Linked DNA regions of Arabidopsis thaliana. The protein of the gene in region 2 interacts with the protein of the main gene of each other region in a pairwise test. Each region holds a gene or a part of one and is shown on either strand. Other genes may lie near its edges.

What was found.
Region 1: the proteins of AT5G41920 (region 2) and JAZ1 interact in binary tests that used the Arabidopsis thaliana proteins (3 or more experiments, as listed by UniProt).
Region 3: the proteins of AT5G41920 (region 2) and MYB54 interact in binary tests that used the Arabidopsis thaliana proteins (3 or more experiments, as listed by UniProt).
Region 4: the proteins of AT5G41920 (region 2) and BEE1 interact in binary tests that used the Arabidopsis thaliana proteins (3 or more experiments, as listed by UniProt).

The regions. Positions count from the first base shown.
Region 1 is NC_003070.9:6,618,418-6,624,120, forward strand, and holds JAZ1 (jasmonate-zim-domain protein 1), read left to right. Parts: upstream 1-3,359; 5' UTR 3,360-3,414; intron 3,415-3,502; 5' UTR 3,503-3,894; coding exon 3,895-4,057; exon of another isoform or gene 4,058-4,255; coding exon 4,256-4,854; 3' UTR 4,855-5,203; downstream 5,204-5,703. Other genes in the region: AT1G19170 (Pectin lyase-like superfamily protein), read left to right, coding at 1-458; AT1G19190 (alpha/beta-Hydrolases superfamily protein), read left to right, coding at 5,459-5,703.
Region 2 is NC_003076.8:16,777,529-16,783,074, forward strand, and holds AT5G41920 (GRAS family transcription factor), read left to right. Parts: upstream 1-2,114; 5' UTR 2,115-2,453; coding exon 2,454-3,671; 3' UTR 3,672-3,896; downstream 3,897-5,546. Other genes in the region: MED10A (Mediator complex, subunit Med10), read right to left, coding at 632-703, 793-882, 956-1,061, 1,140-1,220, 1,293-1,504; AT5G41940 (Ypt/Rab-GAP domain of gyp1p superfamily protein), read left to right, coding at 4,511-4,728. UniProt on the Arabidopsis thaliana protein: Probable transcription factor involved in plant development.
Region 3 is NC_003070.9:27,598,311-27,603,948, forward strand, and holds MYB54 (myb domain protein 54), read left to right. Parts: upstream 1-3,282; 5' UTR 3,283-3,541; coding exon 3,542-3,662; intron 3,663-3,773; coding exon 3,774-4,205; coding exon of another isoform or gene 4,206-4,264; exon of another isoform or gene 4,265-4,549; coding exon 4,550-4,728; 3' UTR 4,729-5,007; downstream 5,008-5,638. Other genes in the region: AT1G73400 (Pentatricopeptide repeat (PPR) superfamily protein), read left to right, coding at 1-1,502. UniProt on the Arabidopsis thaliana protein: Transcription factor that regulates secondary cell wall (SCW) biosynthesis, especially in interfascicular and xylary fibers.
Region 4 is NC_003070.9:6,328,762-6,335,281, reverse strand, and holds BEE1 (BR enhanced expression 1), read right to left. Parts: upstream 3,885-6,520; 5' UTR 3,819-3,884; coding exon 3,462-3,818; intron 3,359-3,461; coding exon 3,233-3,358; intron 3,132-3,232; coding exon 3,066-3,131; intron 2,636-3,065; coding exon 2,567-2,635; intron 2,283-2,566; coding exon 2,205-2,282; coding exon of another isoform or gene 2,163-2,204; exon of another isoform or gene 1,793-2,162; coding exon 1,706-1,792; 3' UTR 1,426-1,705; downstream 1-1,425. Other genes in the region: AT1G18390 (Serine/Threonine kinase family catalytic domain protein), read right to left, coding at 5,347-5,862, 5,963-6,520. UniProt on the Arabidopsis thaliana protein: Positive regulator of brassinosteroid signaling.

The DNA.
Region 1 (5,703 bases), on a different chromosome or scaffold from region 2:
TCTGGAACTCACGCCGTGGAATCAGAATTAAAACGGCTCCAGGACGAGGCGGTTACATCAGAAACATAACCTACAAAAACCTAACACTAGACAATGTTCGGGTTGGGATAGTGATCAAAACGGATTACAACGAGCATGCAGACGATAATTATGATCGGAAAGCATACCCGATACTTTCGGGATTCAGTTTCGCGGGAATCCACGGACAAGGAGTGCGAGTGCCGGTCCGGATCCATGGAAGCGAACAGATTCCGGTAAGGAATGTGACGTTTCGGGACATGTCCGTTGGGTTAACGTACAAGAAGAAACATATATTCCAATGTTCGTTCGTGAAAGGACGAGTGTTCGGTTCGATATTTCCTCGACCTTGCGAGAATTTTGATGTTTACGACGAGGAAGGTCGTCTGGTTAAGCCTGCAGCTGAGTCCAATGTGGCGGACATTGACTACGACATTTGAATGTTTTTTCAGTTCATTGTCATTTGTGTACATAAAAGTAAATTTTGGGACACAAAAATGAAAATTATTTTTCTTTGGACCATTTCTCTTCGTCGTTGGGGTTTTCTCATTCTGATAAATAGTTGTAATTTTAATTAAAGTAATAAATATAAATATTTATCACAAATAGGTCAACTAAAGATAATTCGTTGATGAACAAGCAATATATTAGAACAAAGGAGTTAAGTTGCTTTATTGATCGAATTAAAGAATAAAATTTGGATGAATACAGAACTCAAACTCATAAATGTTGTTGAGGTTCATAGTTTTGCAGTAGAATGCTTAGAAAAATCAAAATCTCCATGTTGAGGTTATTAATATTGAAAGCACGTGTTGTTGTATTCGACTCAATTACTAAACTCGCATGTTAACGCATGACACATGATAATATCGGCATATTCAGTGAACCAGGTTGGTTCATGATCCCTTCCAAAGCGGACTCACACCTTAGACTCGGAGCTCACACGCCAAATCGCTCGGCTAGGTTTTGATAGCCAACTCCGGCCAAAAAACCAATCGCGAGAATGTGGTTTTTGATTGACCCAACTCACATTTTGACCTAGCACGAAAACCAAACACCAACATGAAATAAGATAAACTATTCAAAATATCTAGTTTTATATAAAAATCTTAATTTAATGTCACGAGAAGCATGTTCGCACTACTAAAGTTAATTAGCACAGTTTCGAACATTTATATATGTATATTCTGCAGAACACCGACGACTCCAATAATGGTCACGACTCACGACCCATGTGGAGTAATAGTTTTCCTTCTTTTTTAACATTTATAAATTTTAATATTTATTTTCGAAAGGCTAACAAACGCATGCGTACCTTTACATGAAACAAAAAGAAATTGTAGAATAATATTGTTTGAACATTTCTAGATATTCATGTGCATATTGTTCAAAACTTGTGTATGATTGTATCATTGATTGTTACATAAGTATTTGTTAAACAAATAAAAACTATACAACGTGGCTACGTATCAATCTATGCTTAGCAAAGTCAACCATGTAAATTTTGTAAGTATTACCTTACTCTAAGAAAATAAAACCCTAAACGAACAGATAGGCTTGCACCTGTATAATATATTAGACATTACAAGTCTCTACAATGTTGGTTTATCATTAACAAGGACTAAACAATATACTATAATCATACAATAAATTAAGAGTCGTAAATTAATGGTAAACTCAACTAATGCATGAATAGTTGTAAAAGTATATATATTTGGACACGTTACTCAACTTGCATCGCGGATCTGTATTCCTTCCCAACCACTACGTACACGCATTTCCCACGAGTTTGACGATCTTTCTCGTTTAATCTAATCATATCTACTTTTATAGGCTCCATAGCCCACATTTCATATCTTATAGTACGTTCCAACTTCTAACCAATAAACTCAAAACTAGTTGAGTTTTTTAATTAGTGAAATATATCTTGAATTTTATATATCTAATCTTGCACCAATAAAGTTTCTGTCAATTATGTAAAAGAAAGACTCGTTGTATCAGTATGGGACGACTTTTTCTTCTGAATTGTGTCGATCGAGTCCATATTATAATACTTTGTCACGTACTTTGTTTACTGATTAATTTAATATAATTGTGTCGCATTATCCAAGTCTAATTAAACATTAATGTGTATATTATACACCAAGTTACAATTACAGATCTATCTCTTAGTCGTTTTATTATGTATAGCCTACAATGAAACATGACATCAACGTATAGGTGAAGCTGAAGCCTATACATAAAAGTAAGGTTTTGGAGTTTGTTTCATGTTTTAAGGTTTTAGATATTTTGTGATCGATTTGCATGTATAGGGTTCCAAATATCTGAGCTTTGGCTTGGTCTACTTTGAGAAAGCAGCTGTAGAGATCAACTTTAGCCGTTTAGGTGATAAAATCACATTAGAACTCTATAGGTCGCGTAGCAGCGTATAAGAGCCCTGGATACTGAAATACAAGAATCTCTCCACGCGTAGAAAAACGAACCAACCATGATAAAACACGTGTCATATCGAATAGGTACAGACAACGTGCACTTGCCAACCTTCTTTCCTTGTAGTTTCCTTCTTCTTTGCTTCTTTTTTTCGTTAAATATTGATATTGTTCAAAAAACGCATAACAACAAAAACGTGGTCGACGGAACATGTGGGTGGTGGAGTTGTCTTCTTTAGGGGACCACTCACTAACGCCGTTTACTTTCCCGCTTGGACGATAACACCCTTGATATATGGATTAGTCTCTCTTTTGCTTTTGGATATCTTAATATATTTTAATATGTCCATTTTTATATTGACGACCATTTAATTAGGTCTCAGTTTGTATTATTGATTTTTAGGTGCCAAGCATTACTTTCGTTACGTGTAATCTTTTGATTATTCAATCAAATTATCATATGGTTCATGGCATTTTATCAATTGTGACGGTCGACATGTGGGTTGACTTTGATGTATGACTTTTAGCTTGTGCCTCATTTTTATTCCAACTCGACAACTAGCAGACTTTATATTTTAATTTATTTCTTTCTAGATATTAGACAATTCTTAGCTTGTCTCTCTGCATGAATCACGCGTTAATATACTTATAATAGTAAGTTTTAAAATGTTTCGAGTATAATATCATATTAGATTTCAATTATAATTGTAAGATTATTTAGTCTCAATGAAGAGCATTTAAAAATGTGAAAGAGTTTAGGCTTTGACTGTTGACTGGTTCTAACGCGTTTTGCTTCTTATTTATACAAAAAGATTTTATTTTATTTTAATTAGAAATATTAAGTACTTTTTAGACGTGTTTAGGTTGATTAATTTCTTGTTAACATATCCGATAAAAAAAAACAGCACCAAAATCACGACGAGAATTATGCCTACGTTACGTTGATAATAAAGATTAGAGATAAAATGTAACCTCTCTTCTCTTTACATCATTACATGCATCTTGTGTTTTATTTGACTTTATTCTTACCAACAAACAACCAATGGATAAATTAGGCTCGTGAAGGAGGGCAAACTCGTAATTTCAAAGAAACGGAAAGCGTCAGAACGTGGAGAACAGTGAACCGAGACACATTCCCGATTTTTCTAAAGAAACAAAATAAAACACGTGTTTTTTATACCATAAGTAAAGTAGTAGTATTTATTAAACTATTAATATATAGCTTTGTTATATTGGAGGTAGGAAGAAGAACTCTGCAACCAAACCAACCAACCCCAAAGCCAAACAAAGTTTTATAGAGACCTTCCATTTCTCCCTCTCGTGACAAACGCAATTTGCAGAGAAGCAACAGCAACAACAAGAAGAAGAAGAAAAAGATTTGAGATTACTTTGTATCGATTTAGCTATTCGAGAAACTCTTGCCGTTTGAAAGTTTTAATTGTTAAAGATGTCGAGTTCTATGGAATGTTCTGAGTTCGTCGGTAGCCGGAGATTTACTGGGAAGAAGCCTAGCTTCTCACAGACGTGTAGTCGATTGAGTCAGTATCTAAAAGAGAACGGTAGCTTTGGAGATCTGAGCTTAGGAATGGCATGCAAGCCTGATGTCAATGGTAAGAAACCTTCTCTTTCTCCTAGATCCACTTCTTTTTTCGTTTTCTCTGTTTTTTATTTCTTGAATCTTGATCTTGAAAACTTTTCAAGAAAATTTTGAATCGATTTCAAAGAAATTAGGGAGAGTTAGTTTGCTAAATTTTGACATAGAAAATGATTGGAGAGAGTTCTAACTTTTGGATCATATATATTTGCAGGAACTTTAGGCAACTCACGTCAGCCGACAACAACCATGAGTTTATTCCCTTGTGAAGCTTCTAACATGGATTCCATGGTTCAAGATGTTAAACCGACGAATCTGTTTCCTAGGCAACCAAGCTTTTCTTCCTCATCTTCCTCTCTTCCAAAGGAAGATGTTTTGAAAATGACACAGACTACCAGATCTGTGAAACCAGAGTCTCAAACTGCACCATTGACTATATTCTACGCCGGGCAAGTGATTGTATTCAATGACTTTTCTGCTGAGAAAGCCAAAGAAGTGATCAACTTGGCGAGCAAAGGCACCGCTAATAGCTTAGCCAAGAATCAAACCGATATCAGAAGCAACATCGCTACTATCGCAAACCAAGTTCCTCATCCAAGAAAAACCACAACACAAGAGCCAATCCAATCCTCCCCAACACCATTGACAGAACTTCCTATTGCTAGAAGAGCTTCACTTCACCGGTTCTTGGAGAAGAGAAAGGACAGAGTTACGTCAAAGGCACCATACCAATTATGCGATCCAGCCAAAGCGTCTTCAAACCCTCAAACCACAGGCAACATGTCGTGGCTCGGTTTAGCAGCTGAAATATGAATGCTAACCACCCTCAAGCCGTACCAAGAAATTCTTTTGACGACGTTGCTTCAAGACAAGATATAAAAGCTCCTATCTTCATGCTTTTTGATTTAAGATACAAACTACTCAATGATTAGGAAACTTCATATATTTGTATGTATTGATTAGTGATCAATTATTGTTAGTATTCGTTATAGTCTGTTTTTCTACTAGTTATTGTCGCCTGTCTAAATCCCCTTGCTATGGGTTATCTCAAAATTAGTTTCGTATGTAACTAATTTTGTAAGAACAATAATTTTTGTTGACGAACCATACTATCAAATACTCTAAATTATATCTTGATAAATCTACCTATCAGGTAAGTAGGTGTGTTTTGTTTTCATTTGTTTACTTGTTACCTACTAATCTCATATTTTATGATTCAAATTCAAACCCGTGAATTATGAGTTAGTAGGTAGGTTTAACAACATGTCAACAACTAAAGAACAACGTGACATCTAAACCAAACCAAAACTATAGAGAGTTCAGAGTAGTCGTAGTCTCGTAGAGATCATTCATATAAATAAATCGCATAAACACCAAAATCAACTCTTAATTCTTTCCTAATCATCATTAATCTCTAATGGATTCCGAAATCGCATTCGACTATTCTCCGAGGTTTCGTATATTCAAGAACGGTGGCATCGAACGCCTCGTACCCGAAACATTCGTCCCACCGTCACTAAATCCCGAAAACGGCGTCGTATCTAAAGATGCCGTCTATTCACCGGAGAAAAACCTCTCTCTCCGCATTTACCTCCCTCAAAATTCCGTCTATGAAACCGGCGAGAAGAAAATCCCACTACTCGTCTACTTTCATGGCGGAGG
Region 2 (5,546 bases):
AAGTGATCAAAGACATTTATCAAAATGTGTTTGTAAGAATGGTTGAGAAAAGGAAATATATCTTTGAGAGCATGGTTTTCGGTGATGAGAACTATTGGAAATAGTAACACAATGCTTAAACACACAGACCATCAATATATAAATACCACCCTCTAGTTGGAGAGTGGTCAAACAGAAGCCAATCTAAACACGATGCTTGTGTAGTTAACATTACTACAGCTAAAGATAATGAGAAGCTTCCTTTAACCAGAGATAAGACAAAAATTGAAATTGCAACCAACTCAATGCAAAGCCATATCACTTCTTCTTTCGGCAAGAAGATTATCTTATACAGAACCAAGATTAATCGTCCTAGTAAAAAGCAAATCTTATGTCTCTGATAGGAATCTATCACATACTAGGTACAAAACCCATCGATAGAACTAAGAGACTAGTCTATTTGTAACCTATGAGTGACTATTTAACAGCCTCATGAGTCATGACCTCAGAAAGCTAAGGAGAAATTCTCAAACTATATTAGTCAAGTGCAAAAGAACCAACGGATGTTATAGAAATTCCAAGAAGGCTTGTTCGTTTACATCCTCATTGATCTACTTGAAAATTTTATTCTAAAAGGCAAGATTCATAGCTCTTATAGCTCACTCTTGACCTTAGCATCCCCATTTGGTAACACACTTTGCGTTTGAGCCAACCGTTTTGCTTCCTGAATTCAAATGAAAATAAATTTATCACCTTGACTAACTATTGTAGAAACTATCTCAGATGAGAAACAAAGGAACGTCAACAACTTACAGCAGCATAACTAGCACGTATGTCTCTATACCGATCGACTTCATCAGGAAAAGCCTGTTCAAGCTCCTCCAAGAGATGTTTTCTCAAACCCTGTACCAAACAATGTCGACTTTAAAATCATGAGTGGCCAAATTGAGAGAACCAGTAGAGCAAAAGGAGTCACCTTAAAAGCATCACTCTTTCCCTTTGTAACTTGATTTTTAGCAATGCAGTTCTTATTAAGAACATCTTTTGTAAACTCATCTGGGTTCTTCCCATCATCAATCAAGCTACAACAAACAAAGATATATAAACATAAGAGAGCAACAAAAATTCTCTAAAGAGTCTAAAAAGGGACTTGTTCTCACTTAAGAACCTCAATGGGGACTTGAATGTTGCATTTATCAGACAACTTAGCCATATTATCAAGCTCCATCACAAGAGAATTGCTGCAGATAGAGACAAAATTTCAATCACACAATACTCAAAACAATGGATCAATAGAGAAGAAGAAAAGTTACAGGCGTTGGAGGAGGTGAAGCTGAGAAGCAGGTGTGAAAGAAGAGACGGTGAGTTTTAATTGATGAAGGAGTTCTAAAATTTTCTGATTCGAGTTTATAATTTGGTTCAGCTTCTCATTTGAATCGTCGACGGTTGCAATTGCATTGATTTCGGTTTTTATCGAACCGTTGATTTCACCAATTCCGGCGATTGTGTTCTGTGTTTGATCCATCACCGAATAACTAGAAACGCGATTAAAACACACACAAATTAGGGTTTTGAATCACGGAAACATAGAGGTTGAGGGAAACAATTTATGTAGAGATCAATTCCAATTGACACAACTGGATGAAATTTCTGGGAACGATGAAACCCTAGGACCACCGACGAAGAAGAAGAAGAAGAAGAAGAAGTTCAGAGAGCGTACATGGATGGATTTGAGAAGAAGATCACAGGCGCAAAGTCAAAGTGGTCAAAAGAAAATTAACAATCGAGTTTTGAATTTGTTGTAGTCATTAATGGGCCTTTGGGCTTTTATATGGTTTTCAATGGAGTTAAGTCATGTCCATTTACGGTTACTTAAACTAATGGGTCTATTGTTTTGAACTTTTGATTTTAAAAGGTGGAGATGGTTCTGAATCTCTCTGGTTAAGTATCAATCCATGAGACCTTTTTTTTTTTTTTTTGAATGAATGTGTGAAATTATATTCAACTAAAACAACTGTTTTACAAATCAAATTCAACTAAAACAACTGACAAATTAAATCTCTCTGGTTAAGTGGTACATTTTTAATGTCTCTAGTCTCTACACATAAACGATTAACATGAGAGTTCACCAAATCTTTTCCAATTGGGTTTGTTCACTTGGTTTCGTTGGTTTTAATCTTCACAAATAAAAAAATGGTTTTAAGTAAATAGAAAGAAAAAAGAAAAGAAAAAAAGAGTAATCGAAGGAGCTGTAATCTTCACAAAGAGCACTTGATTATAACATTGAATCTTTTGCAAAAAAGATAAAAATCTTTTCAAGAAACTGATCCATCCAAAATACTATCTTGTCTTCACTCTTCAAAATTCCTGTCATTACTCTCTCGAACCCTTTCTCTTTTCGAATCTCCACTTTTTTTTCTATCTTCTGCTTCTTCTTCTTCTCTCTTCAATGATTCCACTCTCACAAAATCTCCATGACTACAAAACGCATAGACAGAGATCTCCCATCTTCCGACGATCCTTCCTCCGCTAAACGCCGTATCGAATTCCCCGAAGAAACACTCGAAAACGACGGTGCTGCCGCAATCAAACTCCTTAGCTTACTCCTCCAATGCGCCGAATACGTAGCTACTGATCATCTCCGTGAAGCTTCAACACTTTTATCCGAAATCTCCGAGATATGTTCTCCGTTCGGTTCCTCGCCGGAGCGAGTCGTCGCTTACTTCGCTCAAGCGCTACAAACGCGCGTGATCAGCTCTTACCTCTCCGGCGCGTGTTCTCCCCTCTCCGAGAAACCACTCACTGTTGTTCAGTCTCAGAAAATCTTCTCCGCCTTGCAGACTTATAACTCCGTTAGTCCTCTGATCAAATTCTCACATTTCACGGCGAATCAAGCCATTTTTCAGGCGCTTGACGGAGAAGATTCCGTTCATATCATCGATCTCGATGTTATGCAAGGTCTTCAATGGCCGGCTCTATTTCACATCCTCGCTTCACGTCCTCGAAAACTCCGATCAATTCGAATCACCGGATTTGGTTCCTCCTCCGATCTACTCGCTTCAACTGGCCGGAGACTCGCCGATTTCGCATCATCGTTAAACCTCCCTTTCGAATTTCATCCAATTGAAGGCATAATCGGAAACCTAATCGATCCGAGCCAACTCGCAACGAGACAAGGAGAAGCTGTGGTGGTTCATTGGATGCAGCACCGGTTATATGATGTTACAGGGAACAATCTCGAGACGTTGGAGATTCTACGGAGGCTGAAACCGAATCTGATCACGGTGGTGGAGCAAGAATTGAGCTACGACGATGGAGGAAGCTTTTTAGGAAGATTCGTGGAGGCTTTGCATTATTATAGCGCGTTGTTTGACGCGCTAGGAGATGGATTGGGTGAAGAGAGTGGTGAGAGATTCACGGTGGAGCAGATTGTTTTGGGGACGGAGATAAGAAACATTGTGGCGCACGGAGGAGGAAGAAGGAAGAGAATGAAGTGGAAAGAAGAACTGAGCCGGGTCGGGTTTAGACCTGTTTCGCTTCGGGGTAACCCGGCGACACAAGCGGGTTTATTGTTGGGTATGTTACCGTGGAATGGATATACTTTGGTTGAAGAGAATGGAACCCTCCGTCTTGGCTGGAAGGATCTCTCGCTTTTGACTGCCTCTGCCTGGAAATCTCAGCCGTTCGATTGATTTTATTTTTATTTTATAATGCAAACTGCAAAGTGATCATTAAGATTTTTTGTTTTGAAAATATTTCCAAACAAATTACGATAATTACGATAAAAAAAAGTCTTCATTGACGCAAAAAGTTGTTGATATTGAGAATGAGAAGGTTGTTGATACTAAAAATGAGAAGGTTCATGTTAGATAACTATATGCATAAGAGAGGTTCTTGTTAGATAACTATATGCATAAGAGAGGTTCATGTTAAATAACTCAATAAGCATAAGAGGTTATGACTATACACATATCTGTTAATAAAGTCAGCTACAACAAATAGAAGGTCTAATATCATAGACGATACCACCATGAAAAATCATCATTTCTCATAGTATTCATGAAAAACATCAAGTGGAATTTTTATGAGACCATCAACTTCTTACATTTAGTGAAACTGGTTTTTAATTTGTTCCTTCAATTCTTAAATCAAATCTAGAATTCATACAACTTGAGATTCTTAGAAAATTCAGGATACTTGTCTCTTTTTTCTTCTTTTTTTGTACAATTTTAAAAGAAAGATGTAGTGCAAAAGCCAAAAATCGAAAACAAAAACCAAAAACTAACAAAATAAAAATAAAATGACAACCATTCTTTTTTTTGGGGGGGGGGGGGGAGGAGGGGAGGGGGGGAAAGAAGAAAGAATGACCCAACTGTATGAAGGCCCATTAAAAAAGTGGGCCCAATTTCTATAAACGACCTTCGACTTTTTCAATAATCAATTTTCATCCAATTCAACTCAGGAAATTGCTATGATTTTACTCTGAGAATCAGAAGAAGAAATCTCGGTGAGCAAAATCCCTAGTTTTGGGATGATGTTTCCACGACTACGATTGACGAAGGTCTTCTTCTCCCCGATCATCGCCGGGAAATGGATCGTCTTTGCCGACGGTAGCAGCGGCGGCGGCGTTGGTAGAAATGGCTACTACGGTGGATTGTGGTCGTCGGCCGTTATTCCTTCCAATGTTGGTTTAGCTGTCGCTGTCACCGTCATGGCCGTGGCCGTCGCTTTCACCGTCTACTCTCGTAGGTATACACACAAAAACGATCTGATTTATGTTCTAATCGATTTCTTCAAAGCAAAGAAGCAATGCTTGTTCACTACTTAGTTAAGTAGTTATTTGGTATCCATAGATTTGATTGGTTCTTGCTTCTTTGTTACCTCACCAATTCGAGGCTGGATCGTCATGCCTTTAGGTTCGAAGAATTCTCTGTTAGTTAGGTTATTGTGATTGAGTTCTTGGTCCAATGTTAGCTGCTAACTCGTACTTCCACTACCTCTTCTTGTCATGGAACTTGTAAGACTCTCAGGCTGAACATAGTCCTGGCCATATTCTGTATTCATAGACTCTGATGCGTATAATGATTTTGAGGCTCGAAGCACTAAGGCTTTTTATAGTATAATGAGGGAAAATGTAACCAATGTTTAATGTTTACTTTTAGGTTGTTTGCTGGGTTGTCTCTTTTTGTATGACATGCTCTCTTGGTTAGTATTGAACAAACAAAGTGATTCTAGAAGGGTCCTTAGGTGGAAGTCTGAAACTTCATGAACTTTGTATAAACTCCTAAAGGAACTCTCGATAATCAACTCCCCAAGCTTTGTATTTGTGTTTCTTCTTTTGCAATTTTGTCAGATACATAAGCTTTTTGTTGCTAAATCTCTTATCATCGAATTCAGAAATCTGTTTTTGTTGTTATAACTCTTTCTACAACCCAAGCAATGAAGCTATTTTGTTTAAGTTCTGCATCATAAATATGCATACCATGAAGAGTTGGATCGAATAATTGCAGCCTGATATGATCTTTTGTCTTCTGGTCCTTATTCTAATTCTTGGCATCTCTTGGACT
Region 3 (5,638 bases), on a different chromosome or scaffold from region 2:
TAGAGAAAGTTTCCGAAGATCAATCATTGGTTTATTGCAATGAAAATGATATTAGAACAAAGGGTTCTAATCATGCGGTTGGAATCTTACACGAAGCTATAATGGCGAATTTGAATGCGTATGATGATATGGAAAAAGCCCTTGATGAATCTAGTGTAGATTTAACAACTCCTGTGGTGTGTAAGATCTTACAAAGGCTTCAATACGAAGAAAAGACGGCTTTTCGGTTCTTCACTTGGGCTGGACATCAAGAACATTACTCACATGAGCCTATTGCTTATAATGAGATGATTGATATATTGTCAAGTACTAAGTATAAGAATAAGCAGTTTAGGATTGTGATTGATATGCTTGATTACATGAAGAGAAACAACAAAACCGTTGTTCTTGTTGATGTTCTATTGGAGATTCTCAGGAAGTATTGTGAGAGGTACTTGACTCATGTTCAGAAATTTGCCAAGAGGAAACGGATTAGAGTGAAGACGCAGCCTGAGATTAATGCTTTCAATATGCTTCTTGATGCTCTGTGTAAGTGTGGTTTGGTTAAGGAGGGTGAAGCTTTGCTTAGAAGGATGAGGCATAGAGTTAAACCTGATGCGAATACGTTTAATGTCTTGTTCTTTGGGTGGTGTAGGGTGAGAGACCCTAAAAAGGCAATGAAGCTGCTTGAAGAGATGATTGAAGCTGGACATAAGCCGGAAAATTTCACTTATTGTGCTGCTATTGATACTTTCTGTCAAGCTGGAATGGTGGATGAGGCAGCTGATTTGTTTGACTTTATGATAACCAAAGGCTCTGCTGTTTCTGCTCCAACCGCAAAGACTTTTGCTTTAATGATTGTGGCGTTGGCAAAGAATGATAAGGCAGAAGAATGCTTTGAGCTAATTGGGCGTATGATAAGCACGGGTTGCCTTCCTGATGTCTCGACATATAAGGATGTAATTGAAGGTATGTGTATGGCTGAAAAGGTAGATGAAGCGTACAAGTTCCTGGATGAGATGAGTAATAAAGGTTACCCGCCTGATATAGTCACATACAATTGCTTTCTTAGGGTATTGTGTGAGAATAGAAAGACCGATGAAGCACTTAAACTTTATGGAAGAATGGTAGAGTCGCGTTGTGCTCCTAGCGTCCAAACATACAACATGCTGATATCTATGTTTTTCGAAATGGATGATCCTGATGGAGCATTCAATACATGGACTGAAATGGATAAAAGAGACTGTGTTCAGGACGTTGAAACATACTGTGCTATGATCAATGGGCTTTTCGACTGTCACAGAGCTAAAGAGGCGTGTTTTCTACTGGAAGAGGTTGTGAACAAAGGACTCAAACTGCCATATCGAGTGTTTGACTCTTTCTTGATGCGTCTATCGGAAGTTGGTAACCTCAAGGCAATTCATAAGGTTTCTGAACATATGAAAAAGTTTTACAACCATAGTATGGCTAGGCGTTTTGCACTCAGTGAGAAGAGAAAGAGTACAAAACTCAGAGGGAAGTAATGTGAACTGAAAACTGTTGGACCATATCATCATACTAAAACAAAGAACCATTTTCAGTGGTGCGATGATTCTGTTGCCTAGAGAGGAGCTCTTCGTGACTATGATCCCTGGTGAAATTTCATCCATCACAGTCTCTCTAATTCTGGACCAATAAGCATGGTTTCGAAAGCAAAGATACCTATCCAGGTCTATTGTCTAATGGTTATGTTGGTTTCTTTGAAAAGGCTCTCACAGCTCACAATATGTTTAACGTGTTCGTTTAAAGTCATTGTATTGACCATTGCATACATAGAGATAGAGCCGAACTTTGTATGATCCTTAGCAATGTGAGAGGCTTGTTTTCCTTATGGTTCATGACTATTATGGTTTATCTTCTGCTCTTGCTCTCTGATTCTCGAGTTTGATGTGAGATTCTTGAAACATTATGATGCTAGAACAGTGTCGGTTCATCGTTCAGTTCTGGTAACAGGTTCAAGTCTCAGGAACTCTTGCTGAAGAAGTCTAAAGACATGACACAGTTGGTCTGTCAGCCTTTGGTGATGAAGTACCCATACAGTTGTAAAATAAAAAGCCCACTGGTATATAATATTTGACCGGTTTAGTGTAATCAGGATCCGGTTTAGTTGAAATAGGTCATTTTGCGACGAAAATAGGTTAAGTTTAGTTATGATAGGTTCGAAAGTCGAAACTGAAGAAGGCTTCTCTCCTAACTACCGATAGAACAAATGAAGTTGATTATTGGCTTTCTTTCCCAACTAACTCTCTGTTTTATTTTATTTTCCTACTAAACTTTACCAGCAATTATTTTGGTTTTTGCTTACAGATTTTTTTTTTTTGAAGAAATGTTCTAATTAGTCCCACGGAACATTCAATGTAACTGATTCTGTTTTTAGTCCTGAATGTCCGAAACCTATAAAGTTCCGTTTTGGACAAGAGAGACGTGCTTGGAGACCAAATATTTGACCACCTTTTTTATTTGTTTACGACTAAAATGATTGACCACATGAGAATAAAATTTTTGCTAATATATTTCATCACTTGATTCAATTGTATACACCTTCTATTTTATTTACAGTTTATAAGAAAATACCCATTGTAAAATTGCAAAGAAAAAGTTAGTTGTATTGTCTCCACTTTGGACGATATATTCCTAATTAAGGCTTAGAAAAAACGTTGATTAGGTCTGAAAATATTTATCTTTAATTATTATGGACGATATTTGATACATGAAATAAATTTTTGTCAGTGTAGGATATCGATATTTATTATATGTGAATACGTAGCTTGCCAAGATTACAGAAACGTAGATGAGTATTGGTGGCTTGAAGTAGCGGGTGTAGGTTAGAACTTAGAAACAACAAACCTTAAATTAATACTATACGAAGAGACGTTGAGAGGCTAACGAAATCCTGCCCACACCAAGCAATCTCTAGTCTATGCTCTTATTTTCTACGATATTATATATTCTATAATTATTATAACTAAATAAAATCCTAGTTGTAAAATAAAGGAAAGAAAAAGGTAGATTACGTAGAAGGGGGTGTTTTGTTGGTTAGGGAAGACGTTGGCATCAGTCGCCGGTAGAGAGGTCCGTCCAAACCCTCCCGACTCTCTAACGGATTTTGTTTTATTTTATTTTAATTTTCATCATATAAAATGTATATATATATATATATATATATATTTTCTTTTGGTAAAGACATAAAATGTATATTAGACGAAAAAAAAGAAGAAGACATAAAATGTATATTATATATATACTCGCAATAATATAGACTATGTATATATATACGTGCAGGTGCTCTTCAGCTTTCTTCTTGTTCCCACATACCCATCTTCCCCAACCTTTTCCCAAGAAAAAAAAAACTTAGGGTTTTAATTTCTTATATATGTACATAAAATACATGAACACAACAAATTTTTTGCGTGCGTTATTGATATAGAATCTGTGTGTTTTTCTTTTTCTTTGTTCTTGTATTGGTTTGGATCGGTATACTTAGTTAATTACGTAATTAAATAGATCGGCGTGAAGAAGAAAAATGATCATGTGCAGCCGAGGCCATTGGAGACCAGCTGAAGACGAGAAGCTCAAGGATCTTGTCGAACAATACGGTCCTCACAATTGGAACGCCATTGCTCTCAAGCTTCCTGGTCGCTCTGGTAATTGATATCTTCTAGGGTTTGTCCATATATACAAAACTAGCTAGGGTTAATTTTGATACTTTGATATATATATACATATGAATTAATTGTATTGGTGTATATATGCAGGTAAGAGTTGTAGATTGAGATGGTTTAATCAATTGGATCCAAGGATCAACCGAAACCCTTTCACGGAAGAAGAAGAAGAAAGACTTTTAGCGGCTCATCGGATCCATGGGAACAGATGGTCCATCATCGCAAGGCTTTTCCCTGGAAGAACTGATAACGCCGTCAAGAACCATTGGCACGTCATCATGGCTCGTCGCACACGCCAAACCTCTAAGCCTCGTCTTCTTCCCTCGACGACTTCGTCTTCTTCTTTAATGGCGAGTGAACAAATCATGATGAGTTCTGGTGGTTATAATCATAATTATAGTTCCGATGATCGGAAGAAAATATTTCCAGCAGACTTTATAAATTTCCCTTACAAATTCTCTCATATCAATCATCTTCACTTCCTAAAGGAGTTTTTCACCGGAAAGATCGCTTTAAATCACAAAGGTAAACTCAAAATGATGGAGAAGGATCCATTTTCTATAGATGTGTTTGCATGTATATGAGTCTTGCACGGATTATTGATGAAAAAGGTATATATGTTCCAAAATTTTGAAATGAAGTTTAGCCGAATTTTTTTACTTTTCAAAGAGTTTAGCCGACTTTTTCATTTGCATAATCATTTTTCTAATGAACTTCAAAATTATGTGACAAAATTAGTTGCATGTTTTTTCTTGTACTCATCATCATATATTGTTTCCGTCATTACATGAAGTCATCTCTATATATTTAACATAGTTGCAATCCACATAGCTTATAATTTCGTCCTTCTTTTATCGTTTGGATCGCAGCAAATCAGAGTAAAAAGCCTATGGAGTTCTACAATTTTCTACAAGTAAACACAGATTCAAACAAGAGCGAGATTATAGATCAAGATTCAGGTCAAAGCAAACGCAGTGACTCGGACACCAAACATGAAAGTCATGTTCCATTCTTCGACTTTTTATCCGTTGGAAACTCTGCCTCCTAGGATTAGTTTTTTTGCAGTAACTCCTAAATTTCTAGATTAACTATTTAGTCCGTATACGTACGAGATTATCTAGGTCGTTAGCATGTATGCTTGATGTGTATAATCACTAACTAGTGAGCTATTACCTGCGAAAATTGTAAGAAAAATACATAATGTTGATGTATCACACATTCTCAATGTCTGTAAAATTTCCATCGAGTTGTTAACTATCAAAGTTATCCGTTTGAATGTATTTGTTTAATTTGTCTTGAATGAGATGAATAACATGTTTAAATGTTTAATTCTGTTACCAACAATTTAATTATATATATATAACGATTAATTGCTAGTTTGTTTCTTATTAAATTTGTATCATATTTATTCAACGTTCAAACAAATCACCGTTCAATTGTTTATGCATAACCCGATCATGAACTCGACCTCGAGAGGCCACAATATTATCAAAATTTGAAAGTATATATGTACAGTTGAAATCTTATATCGTTGAGATTATAACATGAAAAAAATCCAATGTTTGATGAAGAAGCAAAAGGTGTTGGAAAACTCTTTTTACTTCTTACTTTCCTTAATCGTTTTCTTACAACAACACAACCATTATGTAGTTCTTGTACTTAATCTAATTAGAAATTTGTTAATAACCAAGACCCACCCTTAATTGGGCCTTGTTCACCTCTGGGCCCAATGGCCTTTTTCTCTCTTTTCCTTCACTCTTCTTCTTCTTCTTCTTCTTCTTCTTCTTCTTCTTCTTCTTCTTCTTCCTCGTGCATACCTTGCTGTAGTTCCCTCTTTTCCTTCACTTGCTCCCTCATAGTTCGAACCCGTGCATACCTTTTAATTTCTGTTGAATTTCTCATTGTCTTTGGTATGGTCCTAATCTCAATACGTCTCTGTTTCTCATCCATCTCTCCAG
Region 4 (6,520 bases), on a different chromosome or scaffold from region 2:
GTCTGTAAGATTTAATCATGAAAATGAGCCTTTTTCAATAAACAACGAGAAAGTAAACATGAAATCCCACATTGACCATCCTTCAACGAATGGTCCATTTCAAGCTGTCCTTATGAATGCCATGAGATGCATGCATCTTTTTCGTCTTTCTTTCTATTAATTTTTTGGCTCTTGAAGTAGTTATTAACAAGTTTGCATTTTAGCTCTCGGAATTTTTTTCTTTTGTTAAGAAGTTTAATTCCTGCATGAACCTATGTATAAACATATCTATCATGTATTAATATTATATTCGAAATATTTTTGTAAGGATTTTATCATAAGCCATCTACACCATACTAATCTCGGGTAAATTACGTAATACCTGCATTACAAAGATAAAACTTAAACCTCGGCTACGACCTGCCATGCATATGGAATGAGTACTAGCTAGTGTCCAAAATGTCATAAAAAAAATTATAATAAAAAAAAAAAATCAGAAATAAAGAAACATGTATAGAGAGAATAACAGAAAGACAAAAGTGTATTATTATACCCTCACTTTCTTTATATATACGATCATACAAATATCTGAATTGTTCTATCAATCATAAAGATTATGAATAGGCAACATCCGTAAGATCCTGTGAAGTGAACCGTCGCTATTAGAATTATTTTTGAAAAAAATATGAAATATATAAGAGATATTCATATATGGATAATAAGAGAGACCACAAAAGAGGAAGGAAGTCTCAAGAGATTGGTTGTTCGTCTGTAAAACACGTCCATAGGCTTCGCATCACAATTTACTATTTTGTCTCTGTTTTTGGTTTGGGAGACACACATCATTGTCTTTGGAAAGCTACAGAAGTGAAGGGTGTTTTTGTTAATTTACACCGACAAAGTCTCTTTGGTTCCATAACTCCTCTTCGTTACCAAACCTTGCGCAACTTGCCTCTTCCAGTTTATCGTATATGTAACTATGCCTTTCTCGCTGAAAAAGGAAAATGTTTTTAGTAACCAAAAGCAAATTACATATGAATGGAAATATAATCCCTTAACAAGAACATATCGTTTTATATTATAAACTAATCTTCATTTTTAGTAATTCTATAGCCGAAGCCGTTTTTAACCCACTTTACGTAGGAAAGTGAAGTGGAACTCTAGACATCAAAAGCACATGCATGTCTGTAATCAGACTAAGAACTCTCGACCCTAAAATTAATAAACTAAAATCAATATTTAAACCGACTGGTAACGCTCATTTCTTTTTGTTATAAAGACTAATCACATTTCATTGAAGATTTGGTAATATATACAATTTACAATTGATTTCTCTCTTCCCATCATCGTCAATTCACTCATCAACACTTTGACATATGAGCTAATTCATCCATGATTTATAACTTCATTTGCAGAAACAAAATAAAAAAATTCTGTTGAATTTTATTTCTGATCATTTCATAACTTAAGAGGACAATTACATAAGAGGAAAAGGAAAAAGGTGCCAAGCAAACGAAATAGCAAAGCGAAAAGGGAGAGGACAACTGAGATATTTACATGACAATTATAAGTCACCAATAAATTTATATCGTCGAAATTACAAGTATACAGATTACAAATATTATCCCAAGTTGGGTCGTATATATGACATATCGCATCCAAATAAATAGAAGAATAATTTCGAAAACAATAAAAAAGAAGGAAAAGAGAAAAGAGAAAACAAAAGTCAAAGGGACCATGTTGATAAATGGAAGACAGGACTCCCATCTCTTGTTTGTCTCCCCATCTCCACTGTCTCACGTGCCTTTGCTCTCTGCCAATTGTATTCCATTCATATTATTCAATACTAATAGAAATACTTTATCACGTTAAAATAAAGTAATTGTCATAACAACAACTAGTTAGACTTAAACCATGCAAATATAATGCCAAAAAAAAAGAGACTACTTAAACCAATAAACCATACAAGATCAATTATGCAAAGGCTGGATTTGACCTGTCGAACATATTTTAATTGCGGGTCATATAGTCCGCGTGATCATATATTATAGTCTAATAAGATTGAATCTAAACTACAAACACTTGTATTTTTGAATAAATCTTTGTAGAACCGACTCGATCAAAACATACCGGACCCATTACAACATCTCTACCAGACTACCACTAATTAATTATATATATGCTTATCTTAAGAATTGAAAAACATTATTAGAATGTTCTAGTACCTGCATGGAATCAACTGCATCTGTCTCTGAGTTAAAGTCATAAAACGAACTTGCTGCAGTGAGTTTCATCGAGAGGAACTGAAATCCACAAAAAACATGAAACAAAATTGAGTAATTTATAAAATTAAAGCTTGTGTTTTGGAAGTTTTTTAAAGTGTGTGGTAAGATTTTCGTTTTTTTTTTGTAATTTTCGAATATCTAAGATTTGCCGTGTTTCGGAAAGTACTACTAAAGTAGGTATTTACCGAACCTCCCATCTCATGAAACCTCCATTTTCTAGTTTTTTTTTTCTTTCTCCAAAATACAAGAAGACAAAGTCTTATTGATATATGTAGTTTATGATTACAACTTAAATTATTTACCTCGACTTGATTCTGTAGAGACTGGACATAATTAATTATCTCGTCAAGCATCGTAGCCATTCCCATAGCCTGCACCCACCAAACATACACTTTCATTATAAGAAGTAAGCACCACTAAATCAATAGAAAATCACATCACTTTTTCTACAATTTTTTTTCTGAGTTCTTTGTAAACAAAAAAAACAAAAAAAAATCCGAAGAACAATTTTCGGAAAATATTATGAGCGGTATCAAAGAAAAAAGCTAAAATCACACTCATGCATGTTAAAAATACTTTTGGATACATATGTTCTTGTTTAACTAAAAGTATCACTTTTATCATAAAATGCTTAAATTTGATTCAAGTATAATTAGTGACAATTAATGCCGATGATGACCTTTTCATATGCTATTTATTGTTTAATGGCCATTAGTTTCTATTTTGATTACAAATATATTAAAAAAGAAGTAATGAAAAGTTGAAAATGTTAAACTATTATATTTATCTTTGCATTATTACCTTATAACATCCGGGCACCATATCTTGCAAGCATCTTAATCTCTCGTTTATTTTCCCTCGCCGAACCTGAAATTTTGATATAGAGTGTAGACATGTATATAAATTTAAATGAATACACCACGTTTATAAAAAAAATGAATTTATATAGACAATTTAAGCAATTTTACCCGTTCTGCTAAGCTGTGGCTATCAGTGGCTTGGCCTCTTCTGGCTCTCACATGAACAACTTCTCTCTCTTTCTCGTCTTCTTCTTCCTTCTTCTTCTTCAACCTCTTACCTCTTCTCAAAGAACCCTAGATATTTTTTAGACAATAAAAGTAATTATTTTAAACGAACTTTTTAATGATAAGTTATGAAAATGATAAGATAATTAGCTAGGGTTTCGAGATCAATTACTGTTTCAGTGGCAATAACATTCGTATTATCGGAGACGCCGCTAGTCTCTGATGAAGACAAAGTAGGTAACAAAGCTTTTCTCTTCTTGGTCTCATCGACGATGTTGTGATCACTATGGAGGAAACTTGAAGTTGAAGAGAAATTGTTACTACTGTCTGGAGAGTTTCCGGGAAAGTGAAGTAATTGTTGTTGATGATGATGAAGGAAGAGCGATTCGAGAGAAGTAGAGGAAGGATGAAATGTTTGAAAATGAAGGTTACTGTTGTTGTTGTTTAGATCTGCAGCTTGAGTTATGGAAGAATATATATCCATGGCTATTGTCTGAAAATCAGAAGAAAGATTCTCGAAATTTGCCATAATATAATGAATTGAGATATGATCTTCTTGACACTTTTTTTTTTTTTTTTTTCTGACAACTTCTTTAGACTGGTTGATACAAAACTTGAGACTTTTATATTGTTCGATTGGATTTTTTTATTAATTTAATTTATGATTTTAGAAAAAGAAATGTGGAGAAAATTAAGAAAGAAAAAGAGAGAAATAAAGGGAGAGCCACGTGGGCAAGTGAACGTTCTGGGATTTGTGTGTCGGGGAGATATGTCCAAACAAGGAAAAGTAGGACCAATGTTTGGTCGTGGGTTCCATTAGGCTTTCTCTGTTTGCAAGGGGGAAGAACATTTCTAGTCAGTTTGGTGTGAGGTTAAGAACTAGTGGTCTATCTTTAAATTTATTATTAATATTGGGAAGAAAATATTGAAATGGATGTAGCTAGTCAAACTAAGTTGATATCAAAACTTGTTTTAATGAAAACATCCATTAATGTTTTGCATGGAGGGTTTTTTATGTAGGTGTATAGGGTAAGAGATCACATCCATTTGCCAACTTAATTATAACTTCCAAATGGCCAATGCCAATTAATCGACAAAAATACTATAAATATGTGTATGTATAAAAATATAGGGAGATAAACGAAAGTATATATGAAGGTTCTTTTACATAAGTTGACGCCAATTTATGAATCTTTAGTTAAAGTTTAAGTTACCAAATTATTTATATTGGTGAAGACAAATTTTCACTTTAATCGGCATACTAGAGATTTCCTTTGTTTGTCCTTGTGATGATCAAACACATTGAGTTTTAGGAAAGAGTTTTTTTTTTTTTTTTTTTTTCTTCCTTTTAGGAAAGAGTTAGGTTGCAACAAATGTCAATGTTTAGTTGGGCCATTACTATAGATTATCTATTATGTATGGTGGAGGGATTTGATTCACATGCAATTTCATTCATTCAAGACAACTTACTCTTTAACTTGTTCATTAATAGAAGTAGTAAAGCATCCATGCCCAAATTGGTGTGCTTTAATTAGGAAATTTTGGAAACAGAAGTTTTTTTTTTTTTTCTCTGAAAGTGTCTTTCATTAAAACTTCATAGATGCAGGTCTTACATTGTGATTGCAGCAGTGGACTTTCCACTTACATTGGAAACAGAAGATAAGCTCAATATACATATATATATTCTTCTGACGTTAAATTGGTGGATAGTCATCGCCGTCGCTGAGCTGGCGTTACTTAATTACCATCATTATTTTGATGTCTCAAATATTTTTACCTTTTCCGTAAAAAAATAAAATTAACCACTAATAAAAAAATAGTTTCAGTTGGCAGCAAATAGCAATACAAAATTGCTGATTTAGTCCGGTCAGGCCCAATCACGAAGTTTTGTATGTTACGGTCCCTCTCTAGGTGGAATCGGAACAAGATCATCATTATATACATTCCCAAAAATATCATCTAATACAGAACACGAACACCATTCTCTAACTGTTAACTGACAATTTTAAACATACAAATAATAAACACATACAATGTTAGTGGCCGTGCGACTAATTTTACTTACTGTCCCATTTCACAATGACACTATCTGGAGACTGTGCAACCAACGGTCCACTCTTGTTCACATCTACAACATCCATTTCCGAACCAAATCCATTGTTCTGTATCCTCGTCAACGTATCCTGCACGTGCGACATACATGGCCTAAGATCTTTATCCGACTGCAAGCATTGGAACGCCAGCTCAGCGACAGCGATCACCGTCTGTCTCACTCTTGTATCCGTGTCAAACCCAAGTGACGGATCCACCATGTCGCGGAGCTCGTGGTTCTGGATTTTAACGACTGCCATGTTCGAGAGGTTGATCTCTTGGCGCGGTCTTGTGATGTCGACTGCTGGAAGTGAAGAGATAAGCTCCATTAACACTACCGCAAAGCTGTACACGTCGCTTTTGTTTGAGAGTTGATAGCATAAGTGGTAATCCGGGTCGACATATCCCGGAGTTCCTTGTGGAGCGGTAGATACGTGCGTTTTATCCATAGGAAACAGTCTAGAGAGTCCAAAATCCGCAACCTAAAATGTCGAAAACAGTAAAAAAAACACAGAAAGAAGTTAAGATTATGATCCGATAAAATCCCACCAGATTGAGTAATAACCAGTGTGAGTTACTGACCTTGACATTGAAGTTTTGGTCGAGAAGGATGTTGTTGGATTTAACATCACGGTGGATGATCTTGGAGGCGTGGAGATACTTCAAGGCAGAGGCAGTTTCAACAGCGATTTTGAGCCGAATAGACCAAGGAAGTGAGCTAGGGTTTGCCTGTGGACCATGTAGATGATCAGCTAACGTGCCGTTTGCAACATACTCATACACTAGCAGTAAGTCCCGGCTCTGTTTTGAGGAGCATCCAAAGAGAGCCACGAGGTTTGGATGGCGTAAACCCGTTAAGATCTCAACTTCATTCCTGAATTGCTCTGCTCTTTTGAAGTTGTTATCGTATAACCGTTTAACGGCTACGCTTCGTCCATCTTTAAGCTTACCGTAATAGACAGTACCAAAGCCTCCATCACCGAGTTCTTTAGATGGGTCGAAGTTATTAGTGGCTTCTTCAAGTTCTTCGTAAGAGAAAATATGAACTCCGACTAATAATTCCTCTGCTTTCTCGATGTCAAAAGACTTTGCAGATGGATCTGATGAGATGTTTCTTGGAAGCAATGCTGAAGAATTTCT